Linked DNA regions of Coturnix japonica. The protein of the gene in region 4 interacts with the protein of the main gene of each other region in a pairwise test. Links are inferred from orthologs where the notes say so. Each region holds a gene or a part of one and is shown on either strand. Other genes may lie near its edges.

Region 1 (4,364 bases), on a different chromosome or scaffold from region 4:
ACTCCCTTCCTCATTTTGCAGGGATGCTGCAATCAGAAATCAGCTCAGTGCTCTGTCAGGGCTCAGCGCCTCCTCCACTCCGCCTGGACACCTTAAATCTGTCACAACCATTGACCCAATTACAGTCAAGCTCAACTCCCAGACCCCTCCCGTGATAAGGAAGGAGGCTCTGGAGAAAATAACTCAGAGTAATTTGCAAGTTACAGACAGAGCTGAGGAGCAGCTGCCCAAAGGAACCTCCAGTTTCTCAATTCAGTATCTGTCCATAAGAAATGGTCTGTAAATATCGGCAGTTACGTTAAAATGAACGGCTCGTTAATTTGGTCCAACCGGAAAGAGATCCAAATGCTGTAGAAAAGCAGTTCAGAACATACCCAGATCCACACACAAAGAGGTGCAGGGATCCATTCTGATGGACTAAGAACAGGTGTGGCCTCCCTAATTCAAGAGTCTCACAAACATTTGATCCATCTGCCAGGCTGCAAATTCCATCTGAGTGTCCTGCCATGAGTAAAGATCACCCACACACAACCTGCCTGCGGAGACAACGAGCACCCAGGAGATTCATCCTTGGGGTTCTCCTCAGCCCAAGGGAGCAGCGTCCAGCCTTCAACCTTTGGAGCAAACAGGCACTTAAGATAGCGAAGATTTCTCCTTTTATTACAGAAAAACCAAGGATCGGTTGCTCGGTTCAATGATCCTCCTGGCACAATGAGATGCTGCAGATACACCGTGTGGATGTGCAGACAGCAGATCCGATTGGTGACAAACCTTTATAATGGCAAAATGACTTCTGCTGCTCCTCTGACCACACCGCAAATCTGAATCCAATGCAAAGGGGTCAAACGCCACTTGGAGCTTTTACTCTGGAGGTAAAATGATCTTTTTCACAGCATTTAGTCTCTGTAATTCACTGTTCTTGTGACTGGTTTTCTTCTTGAACAAACCCAGACGACACAGCTAGAAAAGAATCCCAGTACACCAAGAGATATGAGCGCTCTGTGAGCTGAGCAAGGAGGTAGATACCAGAGATGTTGCCTTCAGATGGAGCACAGAAAAGGATCCTGTGCTAATTAACTGGTACCAAGAGTCTGGTCGCTGGCACCAAAATACTGCAGGGCATCAGCATGAGACACAATACAGTAGCATCGAGACTTGTCCAGCAGCTACATCTGAACCTGGCATCTGGAATAGAAAGGTGCCTCTAATTAGCTTCTATACTGATCTTTACTGTGCTTATCAACAGCTGGAAGGCTCACAGACAAGGAAAAAAGCAGAGCTCACCTTATCACATCACAATGCAGGACAACCCCATACAGCCTTGATTCCCATCTTCGTTGCTGTTGAGCTTTTTCATCCGGTACTGCCGGATCTCCCTCACCAGTGTGTAAAACGCATCCTCCACACCCTGCAGAGGCAAAGATTCACATGAAACCCCTTTAATCCCAAATCTCACGAGGCCACCAGGATCCCGTGGTGTATTCAATCAAAAGCTACAGATCTCAAACTGCCTTAGAAGCATTTACTCTTCCATTTAAGGGGGGGTTGGACTTGATGGTCTCTAGGAGTCCCTTCCAACCCCTACAATTCTGTGATTCTAACAATGAAGAAGACAACAGGAAAGAGCTAAACCGTTCCTTGTTTAACATACAACGGACAGAAGCACCCTACCTGTCTCGTTTTAGCTGATGTCTCTATGAAGGGGATGCCGTAGCTCTTTGCCAACTCTTGGGCTTGTTTTGTGTCTACCGTCCTCGTGGGCAGATCACACTTATTCCCAACCAGCACCATGGGCACATCGTCCGAGTCCTTCACTCTCTTGATTTGCTCTCTTAAAAGTTAAAAAACACGGGTTATTTTCCTCAAATAAAAGCTGTTTTAACCCAAAGCCTCACACTAAAATGACGCCATTTCCAGCCTTTCCTCCTCACAGCAAAGACTCAGCCCGTACCTGTACAGGTTGATATCAGCGAACGATTTGCTGTTGTTAATGGCGAACACACACAGGAATCCCTCCCCCGTCCTCATGTACTGATCCCTCATAGCGCTGTACTCCTCCTGCCCCGCAGTGTCCAGGATGTCCAGCAAACACGTCTCCCCATCGATGACAACCTGCTTCCTGTACGAATCCTGCACAGAACACAAGGGAATTAATCCCAAACACAAGGGAATTAATCCCAAACACAAGGGAATTAATCCCGAACACAAGGGAATTAATCCGATAGAGACAAGATGCTGCTCCTTCCTGCACCTCTCCATGCCTGGAGGGCTGTAACCCCTCACAGCCGTACCTTGTTATATCTGTAACCCCACACAGCAGTTTTATTACTGTCCTATTCCCATTCAATTCCCACTCTATTCCTGTCCTATACCCACTCTATTCCCGTCCTATTCCCATTCTATCCCCATTCTATCCCCATTCTATCCCCATTCTATCCCCATTCTATCCCCATTCTATCCCCATACTATCCCCATCCTATTCCCATCCTATTCCCATTCTATTCCCACTCTATTCTTGTCCTATCCCCATCCTATTCCCATCCTATCCCCATTCCATTCCCATCCTATCCCCCCAGTCTCCGCTCTATTCTCCCACCCTACCCCCCCATTCTCTCCCATCTCTCCCCTCCCGGCCCGTTCCCACCCCGTCCCCCCGCTCTCACCTCAATGGTGGGGTCGTACTCGTCCACGAAGTGGTTCTGGATGAGCTGGATGGTCAGCGCGCTCTTCCCGACGCCGCCGGCTCCCACCACCACCAGTTTGTACTCGGTCATCGCCCTCCCGGCAGCTCAACGCGGAGCCGCCCCGCTCCGGCCGCTCCCGGCCCCGCCACCACCACGACTGAGGGATCCCGCACCGCGAACGCGGAACACCCTGCTGCAAAGCTTCCGGCTTCCGGTCCCGGTGTGTCGTCATCAAACAGCGCCGGAAGTGCATCCGATGCTCTCGGGCACGTGACCTCCAGCAGCTGACCAGGATGGGGGGGTAAAGATGGCGGCTAAGATGGCGGCTGTAATGGTTGTTATGATGGTGGTTGTGGTTGTGTGGAGGCGACGCCCAACAACAGAGACACGGGGAGGAGAAAAGCGTTGTTCAAAATCAGTAAAACTTTATTCTATTTCCATTCTTTGCCATTAACAGAAAACCAAAAAAAAAAAAAAAAAAAAAAAACAAAAAAAAAAAAAAAAAACCAACTTGGAGAAAAGCAAATGTTTTTTTTTTTTTGTTTGTTTTACAAAGATAAACGCATCTCCCAGAGAGAAAAAACCCTACATTGAGAATAGAGGTAACATGGAACGAAAGGAAATGAACCACAGTACGGCCTCTATCCCAGGGAGGAACTGCTGATCGTTGGGCTCTAACGCTCAGATCGTTCCGTTCTCTTGATAAAGTGTGACCGGGGTCGGGGGGGGAAGCACACAGACATCGACTATTTCACCTTGATGAGTTTCAATACAGCTATGAAAGCCTAAGGGTTGATTCTCGTACAGTACAAGGGGTGCCGGCTGCAAAGAACAAAATATACGGGTTCACTTCAGGCACAATTGTCTGTCTTTGTAAGTTGAAATCAGTCGAAGGGTTTTGAAGCTGCAGTGTTCGAACAAAGGAAATCGAGTTTAGAAGCTGCAGTGTTCGAAGCAGCAGCAGATTTGTGCATTGTTTTAAATATATTTAAATGACCACACTGATGGCACGCCTCGGCCTTATGGGATTCTGCACTGCAGCCATTCCACAACGCTGCAAAATAAAGAGGCTTTTCATTGAGCTCTAACGCAACTTCGCTGGCTAAAGGAGTCAAATTAAAGGAAACAGGAAAACAAAGTCACATCCAGCCATCGGCTCAAAGCTCTCAATGTTCAGAGAGATTTTCTATCAACCCGGACTCAGTCCACCCCTCCTATGGTCCTCAGTGAGCTTTCCACATCCACTTCGAAGGAAAGACGTAACGCAACTGAGTACTAAGGCATAGTAAAATACCTTGGCCAAGGTAACAAAGAAAGCAAAGGTCAATGTAGTGCAGAATTCCATAAGGTCTACCAGAGCTGTCTATAATGTTTACTCACATAGGCAATGTAGATTTGCAGTTACCAGTTGCGTTAAATGCACCATTCAAAACAAGCTTCTAAAATGTGATACTATAAGGCGCCACCTTAAAGTTCTCCAGAATGCAACTGTGCATAATTTTAAAATGGTTTCATAAATTTATTTTAAACATAACATGAGAAGGTGTTAAAACTGGTGTAATAGCTTCTGAAAATCGGGAAGGGATGAATAGGGAGATATTCAGTACCCTTCATCAGCCCCCACCACTGTCGTCCCTCAGGCATTGGCTTTGTTGATCAGTCTATAACACCAGCTTGACG
Region 2 (4,601 bases), on a different chromosome or scaffold from region 4:
AAAATTAGAAAATCCTAACTATCTAAACACACTCACTGTATTAATTTGACCTTAAACTTTGGTAAGTTCTCTATTCAATTAACCACTGTGCTTGAGCATACAGCTTATGTTAATCACTCAAATATTTTCTTTAACAGATAATAGAACCAGCAGCAGGAAGAAACACCCACCCAGAATGGCATTCTCCTGTACATGTGTGTGAATTAAACGTGCAAGGCTGTATTAGCCTGTATGATGACCAGGGTCTCAATACTGTGCCATTTGTACCTGTTAATCCAAAGCAAGCTTTATATCAAAAATAATACTGTTAAATCCTTCTCAAAATCTTCCAGTTAAACAAACTCTGAACCACACAGCATCACTGTCAAACCCACTTCATAATCCCTGTTTCCTTTCATGAGCATTCAGAACAAATGGCAATTGCCACATCCTGTTGTCTTTGCTGAGAAATGGCAGCACTTAACTCCCAAAACAACAAAGAGAAACACGCACAGGAGACCTGAAATTATATTTATAGGAATTATGTACCTTCTATAAACTAAAAATTCAGTTTAATTTTTTGATACAGAACTGATTGTTAATAATCGCTAATTAATTACGTACTTCCACACAGCTCTATGACACATTCATTACACTAAAGCTTTCCTGATAAGATGTTGTAAAGGAGAAACACTTCCATTTTCACACACCAAACAGGTTGTTTTCCAACCAAATATCCCCTAAGCAATCTCCCAAATCATAAATACAGATAAAACAACGGTTTTAAATCAACAGGATATACAAGTGCTCTGTTTTGGATGCAGAATCCCAAGTCACAAGCAAATCTGTACATCTACATCTCATTCCTGCCATATTAAAATAAATAAATAAATAAATAAAAGTATCACATCCGTGATAAGATTGACCTTGAACACATAGTCTAAAAATCACTATCTTGCAACAGCACCAAATATTATGAACGCGGAATGCATATGTACTTGTTTCATAGCACAACATATTATGAAACAAATAAAATCAAGAATGTTTCCATTACACTGAAGGCAAAGCAGCAGAACCTGAAATTGCTCTACATCAGTTTTCGAACCAAGCAATACTGCAACATCATACATAAAGAAGGACAAGCGTGATCCCTCGTTCTTTAGTCAAAGATCAGCCTTGATAAATCCAGTGTTAGATTACAAATCAGTTACATAGCAAAAGAGATGGAAGATCTACTGGCCTTTAGAGACAAAAAAATAAGTACCTAGGGGAACAGTGGATAGATTTGCATTGTTTTCCAATGCACTACAAAATAACAACTGAATCATGGTTTTTATCTAGTTGGATATGTAATGTATTTTAGATAATTTTCACAAACATTATTCTTAGTTAGTACTTAATCTACATAAGAGGCAAGGAAAATAATGTTTTAGTAAATAATTGTTATGAAACCTCAGAAACATAAGAATGTATTAAGAATTTGGTATAATAAAACCTCACTTTACAAGTCAAACATCTGTGACTGGGCGATCATCTAAAGGGCACTATCCGAAGCAAGTATTTCCTCCCAAAGTTTTGAGAGTAATACATGCTACATTACAGAGCGCTGATAGGATAAACAGCTACAGAGGTACACTGCCGTAACAGACAAAATACATGTCCTGCTGTAATGGCCTAGTAAGCCCCCTTCTTGTATCCTACAGTCGTATGGTGCAATGTGAAAAACAATTCCTTCTGACTTAGAATCTAGAGGCAGGGGATAAACTCACACACACTGTTAAGTAAAGGACAAACTCCTCCTGCAACCAAACACATTTCAAACACTGCACACTTATTTTTCTCACTATTTTACATCAAAGTTATTCCTGATCTTTGAAATTGTTTTATAAACTTCACAAATTATCCCTTGGGATTAAAGTAACTTTTCAGGATCTGCCATATTGGTTTCAAGAGTTGTTATCTTCAGATGTCCTTCTAATCACTGCACTGCAAGTCATTGCTCAATATATATTGCTCATATATACATACATTGTGTATATATTATATATACATATATACACACATTTATTTTTCCTGTTTCCAGTGCAACTTGATGGCATAAATCTTGCTTAAGTTGCTATGACAGATTGCAAACTGTGATAGACGAAGACCTGGCAAACGTTCTACCATCTCAATACAGGGGAGAAAGGGACCAGAAGCATCAGTCAGAAGTGCAAGATGGATATCTGAAGAGGATAAGCTGCTAAAACATCACTAGTCTACCAGAACTCAAATGCTGGCAGGTAAGAATGTAACTGGACAGCTGGAAATGACTTTGAGTGAGTAATCTGAAGAGTCACAACAGCTAAGACAGGTAACCAAACCCCTACCCACCCATCGTTCAGCACAGCATGCAGTGAAAGGGCTTTAAGTTGTCACACAAAGAACACACTCCAAATATCAGTGTTTCCAAAACCTTTATTCTGTTCCATAATTACTGCAATCCTCCTGAGGGCATGCAGCAGCTCTAATATCAACTCTATTACCTCCCCAAGACACAAGCTCACCACCTGACGCCAGACCTTCAAACTGCCATCTAACTGCAAAAGCACGACTGCACTTCTATTGCCTCCACAGAAAGACATCTGTGCTTCCATGAAGGAAGATGAGTTCACTTGTAAATTATTGATGGCAATTATTAAGTTGTTACTGGCAGCTTCTCTCGATAAGAGCCTCCCACCACTGCCGCGCTATCTGCTACATAATTCATCAACACTAAAACCCCAAGCAGCCTACAGTACCACGCACGCAACCCCACCGTTCCCGTTGTCACCTGCAGACATGACAGCCTCCCTTACTTACTGCAGAATTTTCTCCCTATACTTTAAACCCATCCCCGAAGAGTCCCACGGACAGAGAAGCAGAGATGCCCGCCCAAAAAGGCGAGTACAGCAGGAGCGGGTCCACGGCTGACCCGGCCCCGGTCCTCCCTTCCTCCCACCCTGTACTCACCTGCCCCGCCAGCCCGGCCAGGGAGCGCAGGGCGCTACTCGCCACCTCCGAGGCCACCAGCTTGGCTCCAGCCTCCGGAGAGCGCTCGCCGAGCTCCGTCAGGCCGGGCGCCGCCGCCATGACAGCAGCACGGGCCGCAGCCGGCAGCGACATGCCCCGCGTCGCTCAGCGATGACGAACGATGATGGACAGGAGCAGCAGCCAATGTTGCGGCCGTGATGGCGGCTCTCCGGGTGTACGGTGTTGGCAGCGTCCGACTGCTGCCCAGCACCTAAAGGCCCCAGGACTCCCAGCACAACTCATCACCTTGCCCTTCTCTTTGCCTCCTGTCCCTTTCTATCCTTCAGCTGCGTCCACAGTGGTAGTGCCTTGACTGAGTGCATTCATGGAAAGAGGGACGTGTGTTAATTCTAAGCATACTAAGCATACCAAATGATTGTACTTCTTTTTCAGCCTTACTTTTCTGCTTATTACTAACTTTTGTACACTCATGAGTTTATCTTCAAAGCCTTGACTCCTCAAGTTGCAGCAGGGTAGCTCTGTCGCCATACAATGAGGAACAAGTTTGTCACACTATATTTGTAGGGCAAGACTACTTCCTCCTCTGCAATCTGCTCACCTTCTTTCTTAGGACAGCAGCAGTGCTGATGAAAGTTTTCTACCTGGTGTTTCTTTTTGTCACTTAATTTCTGTCTTTTACCATTTTCCTGTTTCCTCCCCCAGATTTCCTTTACAATCATTTCTCTTGATTCATTTCATACTTCCTGTCTCTTGAAAAGGGTATTCCTAGGCTTATGAGCCAATTCTCCATCTCTGGTATAAAGGGAGACCACATAGCTCTGCAGGACAGACCAATCTCGACATTTTAGCTTTTTTCCCTATCATGCATTTTTCATGTCCAAAGGGAGATCATTTAGTAAACAACAACAGAATACTGAGGGTAGAAGCAAATCCAATTCTGCAAGTCACAATCAGACAAGATGGGCAGAGGATACCCACTTATCAACCAGACTTATGTTTTCCATTTCTTGAGGTATTAAGCCTTCTGAGATGCTGGGAAAGCACTGAAATCTTTGGTATTGTTTCATTTTCAGTCCCATCACACTTGGTTTTTGTTGTTGTCGTTGTTGTTTGGATGGTTGGTTGGTTGTTGGTCTTTCATTCCAAGTTCCAGCAGCAATTCCAGCAGCACAGCAGCAGGTTTTAGCTGCCATGGCTGACTTAACCCTTTGAAAATGGTAGCATGTCTGAACTGCTATAGGATCATGAGCAGGTTCTGGAGCTTCAACCAAAAGGGAATGTCTGCTCAATTCCAGAGGCAAATTACTGACTTAAGAGCTAATGATTTAAAAAATATATTTCATGGAAATATGTGCTTTACAAGAGATATGTTACCCAAACTGAGCTACATCACACTTGGCTGGATTCAGATCATGTGAACCATTATGTCTTCTCTCAGAGAAAACGTGCTGTTTCCTACTGGTAAAGAGACCACAGAATTTCTTCCCACTTTCAGTCTCTCAAAAAGCCTCAATCCATGTTGCAGCTGCTAGCTGAATAAATTTGTTACCATTTGAAATTTCACAGATTATGATACATTATGCAAACATGAACAGAAACAGCAATAATCC
Region 3 (3,935 bases), on a different chromosome or scaffold from region 4:
CTGATGGGACTACTCTACTCAGGTTTTGTTGTTCCCTCCTCCCCCCCTCTTTTAATTTCCTCTTTTAATCATTAATTCTTGTTAATTCTGAGACTGCAACTACATAAAACCAACATGCATCAATGCTCGCAAACACCCAAGGGTGTAAATTTGAACATCTATATAGCTGTATGCACATCAAAGATTCTTGCTACAGCAAGCTACCATCCTTCAGCCTACATGCAACAAGTACCTTATTACAGTAAGAAATACAGCTCCAGATGTAATATCTCCAGAACAGCTTAGAGCTGTCTACCTTCTTCAGTTCCACACCAGTACTTACTGTTTGGGGGTAGGAGAGTGGGCGTAGTCTGTCATAGTCCTCTTGACCAGCTGTATCCCACAGGCCCAGATTGACTGGTTTGCCATCAACCATTACATTAGCAGAGTAGTTGTCAAAGCTAAAAAATAAAAGTTAGCTGCATTTGATTGTAGTCAAATTGGGCACCTAAGTATTTCTTCCTGCAGAGTCATAACTAGGAAAGCTATAACACTGCACTTCTGTGCAGCACACACAGATGCTTGGCCAGATGTTATGATGGCACTGAGTGGTGTGTGCCCACAATTCAGGAGGCTCAGTGAGGAAGCTGGACCAGCAGGAAGCACCAGTGGGTTGACAGGAATGTTTTTAGAATGTTGTAAGTACTTACACTGTGGGTATATATTCCCCAGGAAACGCATTGGTTGTGTAACTGATGAGTAGGCATGTTTTACCTACAGCACTGCAAAAAAGAGAAAGTTTACATGTAAAGAACATTCATCTCAAATAGCAAGCAATAATATTCCTCTTAGGGAAGAAAACTAATTACACCCAGTCACCTAAGGAACAATTGAGAGTGCCAGTAGAAAATATTACACACAAAAACAAGTAAGAGGCTGTAGCCTTAAGGTTACTGCTAGTGTGGAAACACAGCTAATATAAACATCCATTCTGTTACCCTTAGTTTTATTTTACATAAGTTTGAAGAAAGCTTGAAACCACATCATTTCTCAGCATATCATTATTTTTGCTGAAGTGAGAACAATACAAATGGCAGTGCTCACCATGATTATTGCTACTGCAAAGTGACTCCCGGCATGCATTCACCAAGCACTTCACTGGCTGCCTTACAGATAAACTGCATTCCAACAATGAAGACAGCACCCAAACCGCCCCACAGCCCACCCCACTGCCCTTCTCAGACACACTCCTGCACAAGTTGACTGGCACCGCCTCACAAATCACTTTCTCACACTTAAGTCAAGCCAGTAGGAACTTCCTAATCTTGCTGTACATACAGACAAACCTTGCTGTTAGCAGCAGCTTGGACTCTCAAGCCTCCTGATTCAAGTCTATCACAAACTGAAGGAACTCATGAAAGCTTTAGTCTAAAACCACAGCTAGTATTAACAGCAAAGGAAATATTACCAGAAACCAAATGCTACTGCTAAAAATACACTGTAATCCTTTCGCTTTTGCAGAAGACAAAGACAACTCTCAGAAATGAGCATTAGTCATGGGCTCATAGCTCTCCTGCTGCAAACAACTGAGGCGTTCCTATCTGAATTTTAGCAACTGTTTTACATTTGAATCATAGCATTTCTTTTCTTTCTGGAGAACCTTGGACTGCTACTTCATACACCTAAGATCAGCTTCAAAATGCTATTTAAAATCACTTAACACTCAATGTTAGCCCATCAGCCCTACCTAGTGACTCACAGTTCGAGGGATGTTAAGTACCTCTACCATAGCTGAACCCAGGAACAGCTCAGTGCCACTTAACCCAGGAGGGCCATGGCAACCCCTGACAACAGCACCACACACATTCAAGCCATGAAAGAGGAGTTGCTTCACTGTGCACAGCATTGCCACAGATTTTTAGCCTCCGTGCCTATTAATTGCACTTTTGTTCCTGAGCAGAATGTCCCACTAATCACAGCACACGGTGGCAGTTTCCTGCCCTGCTTTGCACACATGCTCTAAGGAAACAATCTGATTTTCTTCTTTTTCTTCCAGCATACACCCTCCTGAACCGAGCTGGCAGAACTGAACACCAGAATTTTCCTCTGCTCGAGCAAACTACGACCTGCAGATGTTTTCCTGTCGCAACACGCTTGACACACTCATGTACAGAGCAGCACAGAGATTTATCACGCAAAAACTTCTGTGGGAGAAATCTGGGAGCTGCGTGCCATGCAGCTAAGCTGGCTTAACAGCTGCCAGCAGAGGAGATCCCGTGCTGTCCCCATTGCAGGGGCACTGGGCTGACTGCTAACAAGCCACTATGCGGAGGGAAAGCTCCACATTCCCCCAAGGACAACCTGCTGCTCACATCCTTGGGATGCTTCATCAGCCACCGTGTGCTGCTGACTGCTGTCAGCGAGCTATAAAGCAGGCTCTGCCAGTCCTACCGACCAAGGACAAACGTGAAAACCCTCAAACACTGGAAGCAGCAAGGAGCACATTCCCTAGGAAACTTCCTGAGGCTCAGAGCTACGTGCTCATGTGCTTCCAGAACCTGGCTGGTCTGATGCTTCGCTTTCCAGTGGGTTCATTACAGACAACAAAAGCTTATAACAAATTCATATGGAACTCCACATTTTCAGCAGAGGCCCAGGAACCTGTCTCAGCGCTCAAGTTTCTTTGCTCACCCTGCTCTGAAACCGGTGAGTCTGCTCTGGCTAATAGAACAGCACAGGGAGGTGGTGACAGGTTTCATTCCATGCTGAGAAGCGCCTGCCTGCAGCATGTATCTGCAGCACAATCAGGCAGCCACTTGAACAAGAAAAAACACGTTCAACAACCCTGTTTCAGGCCTGCTCCGTTCCAGGCTTCCTGCTTCCCTTGCCTTCTGGCTCACTGCCCCACAAATCGGGTATTACAGTTACCAATCCTCAAAATGAACTTCAATACCTATCTTTGCAATGAAGCACAACCTCTGAGTACTTACAGCTTTTCTCTAAGCTGACCAACTTCTGTGATAAGGAACTTAGAACTGCACTTGTTTTGCGAAGTATAAATCCTTGCACATAAAGACGTAGACTCTGAGATACTTCCAAACCAAACTTAGTCATAACAAAATTTCGAGCAACTGCTTAATCACAGCTCTGTCCACCCACCATTGCATCAAATGAAACTGGTAACATTTGACTGCAATTAAAAACATGGCCAACAGAAATTCAGCATTTTAATGAGTTGCAGTGAATTGCTTTCTGACACCTTCTAGGAACCAGTCTTTGTAAAGCCACATATGTTGTTCCTGGAAACAAGGCACGCCATCCCTTTCTTACACTAAGCGGTTCTGCAGAGCTCCCCATGTTCCTGCTGCTGGCAGACACGTATGTGACTCGCTCTGAACGCCATCAGACAATGTGTGCCAGCATTTCCTCCATCCTGCAGGCACCAGAGCTGCACAGATGCTGCACTCTCCTCCTCTCCCACGACTAAAACCCAACTGCACGAATTTAGTTGCTGTTTGCAGCCACAGGAATGGAGGCGGAGGCCAGCTGAAGTAATTGCTGTTTAATTCCAGAAATGTTGATATCTGCAAACAGGTGGCAGCCTTCTGAAAGCCTCTGACAACATCCTTCCTCTCTCAGCTGCATGAACCAGCTCCACCCCAGGCGTGCTGCATGGCTCAGGTCTCCATTCACATCAAGCAGCAGATGGGACATCACCAGCACTGTCCTTGGACAGAATTGCCATGTTTTTGCTACAGCAGAGGTTTAGATATATGCCACTTTTCCAGGTGAGCTGCTTTTCTCGCTGTGACACCCATCTCCCCAATATACCGCTCAGCATTTCCAGTACTACCCAATGTGTAGAAGTGCAATAGCAGAAGTTCCTACACTTGGAGTCGCTGCACTCTCCATAGGTGGCACTGGAGAGCAGAGGTGCTCGGAACCTCACCCTGCAC
Region 4 (4,487 bases):
AATAACTGTATCACTTTTACAAGTGATCTATGAAGTTGACTTGCATCTCTTGAAAGAAAACTAGCAGAATTCTTTTCAAGGAGGACTTTTTCATTCCTCTCCTATGTAAGGCTATTGATTACTCACAAAAACCACACAGGCTTATTCCCATCTACCCAAAAGTGGTACTGCACACAGCCACGCCTGAACATTCACTCCCTTCTGACACCTTTACTGAGGGAGCTAATATCATGAACACAGGTAGTGGCTTCTGACATTCTGATCTGGAGCTCACAGCCACCAGGCTGGCCACAAAGCTTGACAATTGTGGTACTTCTGTGTGGAAACTAGGAGAGAAAATACAGTGCCCTGGGAGGAGAGGGGCAACATAAGCCTTTGTTCTGACAGCTGTAACTAAATGCACAACAGCCATTTACATTATAGCCTGTGTATCTCCTGCATCTCGTCACTATGATATTAGTGTTAGGTATTGCAAGAAGTTCCCTGACCTCCTTGTGAAACTGGCAGGTTGCTTTCATTGCCCAGTTAAGCACACAGGTACATGTTAAACTTCATTAGAACAGAGGCCCCCTTCCATTTCTTGCTAACACAACTGGTGCTTGGAAACACTTCTACTGATCATAACATCTATATTTCAGCCTGCAACTGATACATACCATAAAAATAATTTTGTGTGTAATCTGTATTTCTGTTCGGTATATAAGCTCTCACGAATGATGTTTCTACACCTTTTGGGCCAGTGCATAAGTGTTGAGTGGTCAATGCATAATACTGATATATCGTATGGATTCTCATTTGTAGAATGACTACTGCCTGAAAACAGTAAAACCTGCCTGGCCACAAGAAGTTCATGACAGAACATGCTGGTTGTGGTTTTGGAGGTTAAAAGATGAAAACTGACCAGAGAAAGGGGCTGTTCAGCAGGAAACTGAGGCACAGTCAGCAACTGAAAAGTAAAAACCTATAATTGTTCTTGTAAGAATAGAAGCACAGCACACGTAAGCCTCAAGTACTCAGTATTTTGCTACCAGGAGCACTTCAGCAGCTTGTTTCACAAAGCCAAGAGATGAATGGTGTTGAAACTGCACCATTCCATGTATGTGACTTCAAAAACTACATAAGCACAAGCAAAAAAAGTGACAATTTTGGGAAGAACTGATATTAATGAGAGGAAGCCACAGTCCTCTAGGAGGAAATGACTGCCACGAGAGGAATACACACTTGGGGCTGAAGTGGCAACAGAGAGATTTCTACACAGCAAAGATAATGCAGATCTATATATACACAAATATTTTTAGTGGCAGAAATCTTATGACTGGAATTAAAATATACTTACTTGGTTTTCCATTTTATATCACCAGTATACAGATCAGCTAATACTAAGCCTGCCTTTTCGAACACAGAATAAAGCATACATTTAACTGCAAGGCATTACTGCATTCTTGCTACAAACGCCTGTTTGTTGACCATGATTTATGGGATGTAGTGCAAGCCATAGGAAGAACAAATTAAATACTGCAAATATTCATCCTGACTTTAATTCTAGGGATTTGCAGCTGTAATGCGACGCAGTACCCAAAAGAATGCTATAAGCAGAATGGGGGAAGTTATTGCATTGATTGTATGAGCTTGAACATAGATCTTCAGCAGCAGAAGGCACAGTTAGCTGCTAGCCAAGGTGAAACTGATTTCAGTCTTTGGAGCAACAAGAGCTGCTGCAGAGGCTGTAGTTTGCTTGGATTCTTAAAAGCAAAGGAGTCAGGTTCCAGAATGCACAGGAGTGGGGAAACAAAGGTTTCCCCTGTATTTTCACAAGCAACCTCTGGTCAGTTATGGGCAGGCGATGACAGATTCTAGAGAAAAATTCAGTCTCCCTGAGAACATTTGAACGACTCTTACTTATAGAGCAGGCTGGAGCAGATCCTCAAGCTGTTTTCAAACTTGTCTGCAGCTGAGATGTAGTCTCATCTGAAACAGAGCACTGCACTGATTCTGTATCAGCTTTTCTGAGGAGGTTTTAGCGAACTCTGTGAAGGTTTTTTGGGAGCCAAAATAGTTGGTCACATCTGTATTCTGACCAGAACACTCAGATTAGCAGCCAGAATTTGTGAACAGAGACAGGAAATATATTCTTACTAAATCCTTGTGTCTCGATGCAAAAAAAAAGAGGCCTTTGCTACACTGTTAGAGTTGTTCCTTATTCTGAGCAAGCCTGACAGCTCTCCTTCACACCTGACCACAGCAGCTTCCATCTGCCAAGGTTCTCCAGAAGTTCTCCATCTCTTTAAAGGAAGCAAACAAGTATCTATCCCATTCCATGGCCACGAAAACTGAGGCACTGCAAGCGCTTCTTCCCATGGAAACTTCTAGTTGAAAGGGAAAGATGTGCGTGATCTGCAAAAAGAAACTAAACAGTGCAGCACCTGAGGCTGCAGGAAGTGCTGATGTCAAAGCCCTGAGCCAAAGTCAGGCACAGCCAGCACCCTGCCCTGCCTGCAAAGCACACACGGCTCCTAGCCCCGGGCATCCACGACCCAGAGCGCAGTGAAACGCGGACCGGCAGGGCCATCCCTGCCTCAGCGTCCACACTGCAGCCAGCTGTGCGGGGAAACTGACGGTGGCTGCTGGGCGCCGTACTGTGTAAAGAGGAGGAGGGGAGGGGAAGCGAGGAGAAACCCAACGAGCGCTCTGTAAAGGCAATGGAACGCTGCGCTCCCTGGGTTCACGCGGGGTTCGCTGGAAGCTCCATCCAAGTGGCGATCGGTGCGAAACTACTTAATTTACAACATTAAGAAACGGGGGGGGAAAAAAACCAACCTACAAACACAAAAAGGCAGAAGTAACATGGCTGCATTCAGAGGCACAAGTAACGCTCTGCCTCACAGCCGGAGCAACACGAAGATCCTCACGTCTTTCTCCAACAGCGGACAAGGACCGCGGCGCAACCTTCCCAGCGCGCTACCCCGACGGCCTCCGTCACGCCAGCAGCGGTCGGCGAGGTCCCGGGGCCGCCTTACGTAACTCCGTGCCCCGAGCCGCCCTCTCCCCTCGCCCTCCGCGTGCGGATCGGGGCGGCCCGGCCTGCGCGGATCGGGGCGCAGCGCAAACTTTGCGCCGCGGGGGCCGCGCGTTCCGAGCCCCGCAGCCGGCGGGGAAGTTGCACCGAGCTCGGGCGGCGGCCTCTGGGGGCAGAGGGGCGGCAGCGAGGGCTGCGCAGCGGGGACTCACCCATGGTGGCGCCGCGGCCTCCTCCTCCTTCCCCTCCTCCCGGAGCCGCCGCCTCTCGGGGAGGCTCGGGAGAGCCGTGCGCGGAACGGAGCGGGGAGAGCGCGGCAGCGGCGCGGTGGCTGCGTGCGGCGCGGCTATGAGTCAGGGTAGCACATCCGGGCAAGGCCGCCTGGGAGACACCCCGCCCGCCCGGCGGCACCCTGCCGTGCCGCTGCCGCCGCCGGGGAGGGGCGGGCGGGCACGGAGGAGGCGGTGCGGGACCGGCCCGGCCGCGGGAGGGGCGGAGAAGGAGGGAACCGAGGGCGGTGCCGGCGGGGGTTGCGGCGGTCCCGCGCCGCCTTTGTTAGCGGGGCTTAGGGGTGGTGGCTTGGAGGATGGGGGGCTGTCGGCGAGCTCCTCGGGCTCTGTCTGGCGGCCCTTTGTCCGAAGGGAGGGCTGAGTCAGGGGGCGAGCGGTGTGAGATGGACCCTGTGAGCACAGATCGGCGGAAGAAGGGAGGGAGCTGCCGGGCAAAGAGCGGTTGCCTTAAGCCGTACGTTTTGTTGTAGCGATGCTGGAAACCGTGCGGCCGAAAGCGAAAGGCTTCTGCCCCGGTAGTTGTGTGCGGAGGACATTTTTAACAAGAAAATGAATCTCTGCATTCCCCCTTCCTCTGTGCCCTGGGATGTTCACTCTTTGTAACGCAGCAAGCAATCGGGAACGCTTACTTTTACAGTCTTAGCTTTCATTGGGAGCCTTTGTGTTAACAATGCGTTAACGCCCTGAGCGTCTTCGCTTTCTTCAAATCTTTCCTTATTCACAGTTTAACTCGAGTAAATGCCACGGTGCGGTTAGGCAGAGTAGGACGAAAGAGTCATAGAGTCTTGTTGCTCCATAGACATGGGCAGCGGACACAGCAAGGATGAGCGAGGGGATAAAAGGAGCTGCAGCTGAGTCAGCCTCGGTTTGCACGAGTGGCAGTCGGCAGCTTCCGGGGGGTCCTCGCTGGAAAAGGGCTCGGGAGCTGTTCTGCATAAGGGGCAGTGGGGCATGACAAGCAAAGAATCATTTGCTGTCCCTTCTGTGCAGCACAAGAGGGATGCTCTGAGGTTTGTCCATTTATACTGCTGTAGCCGTGCGATTCACCACGTCTTTCATTCTGACATCAGCAGGATTTTGCAGTTGACTTCTGTGGTGTTAGCCACTGTCCCTTGCTGTAGAACTTGATCCTGAAGATATGTAGCTTATGGTCAGCTGATGTTGAAAATGACTGTGTTTTT

What was found.
Region 1: the proteins of RAP1GDS1 (region 4) and NRAS interact in binary tests that used the Homo sapiens proteins (3 or more experiments, as listed by UniProt). The link is inferred for Coturnix japonica from reciprocal best matches to the Homo sapiens genes RAP1GDS1 and NRAS.
Region 2: the proteins of RAP1GDS1 (region 4) and MBIP interact in binary tests that used the Homo sapiens proteins (3 or more experiments, as listed by UniProt). The two-hybrid records come from large-scale screens. The link is inferred for Coturnix japonica from reciprocal best matches to the Homo sapiens genes RAP1GDS1 and MBIP.
Region 3: the proteins of RAP1GDS1 (region 4) and RAC1 interact in binary tests that used the Homo sapiens proteins (3 or more experiments, as listed by UniProt). The link is inferred for Coturnix japonica from reciprocal best matches to the Homo sapiens genes RAP1GDS1 and RAC1.

Annotation. Positions count from the first base shown.
Region 1 is NC_029541.1:3,904,894-3,909,257, forward strand, and holds the start of NRAS (GTPase NRas), read right to left. Parts: upstream 2,917-4,364; 5' UTR 2,775-2,916; coding exon 2,664-2,774; intron 2,131-2,663; coding exon 1,952-2,130; intron 1,832-1,951; coding exon 1,672-1,831; intron 1,409-1,671; coding exon 1,289-1,408; 3' UTR 1,285-1,288; intron 1,186-1,284; 3' UTR 1-1,185. Other genes in the region: CSDE1 (cold shock domain-containing protein E1), read right to left, coding at 4,341-4,364. UniProt on the Homo sapiens protein: Ras proteins bind GDP/GTP and possess intrinsic GTPase activity.
Region 2 is NC_029520.1:33,103,142-33,107,742, forward strand, and holds the start of MBIP (MAP3K12-binding inhibitory protein 1), read right to left. Parts: upstream 3,145-4,601; 5' UTR 3,124-3,144; coding exon 2,971-3,123; intron 268-2,970; exon of another isoform or gene 195-267; coding exon of another isoform or gene 171-194; intron 1-170. UniProt on the Homo sapiens protein: Inhibits the MAP3K12 activity to induce the activation of the JNK/SAPK pathway. Component of the ATAC complex, a complex with histone acetyltransferase activity on histones H3 and H4.
Region 3 is NC_029529.1:8,459,490-8,463,424, forward strand, and holds part of RAC1 (ras-related C3 botulinum toxin substrate 1), read right to left. Parts: intron 762-3,935; coding exon 690-761; intron 441-689; coding exon 323-440; intron 1-322. UniProt on the Homo sapiens protein: Plasma membrane-associated small GTPase which cycles between active GTP-bound and inactive GDP-bound states.
Region 4 is NC_029519.1:53,686,257-53,690,743, reverse strand, and holds the start of RAP1GDS1 (rap1 GTPase-GDP dissociation stimulator 1), read right to left. Parts: upstream 2,870-4,487; 5' UTR 2,855-2,869; coding exon 2,818-2,854; intron 1-2,817. UniProt on the Homo sapiens protein: Acts as a GEF (guanine nucleotide exchange factor) for the Rho family of small GTP-binding proteins (G proteins) that stimulates the dissociation of GDP to enable subsequent binding of GTP.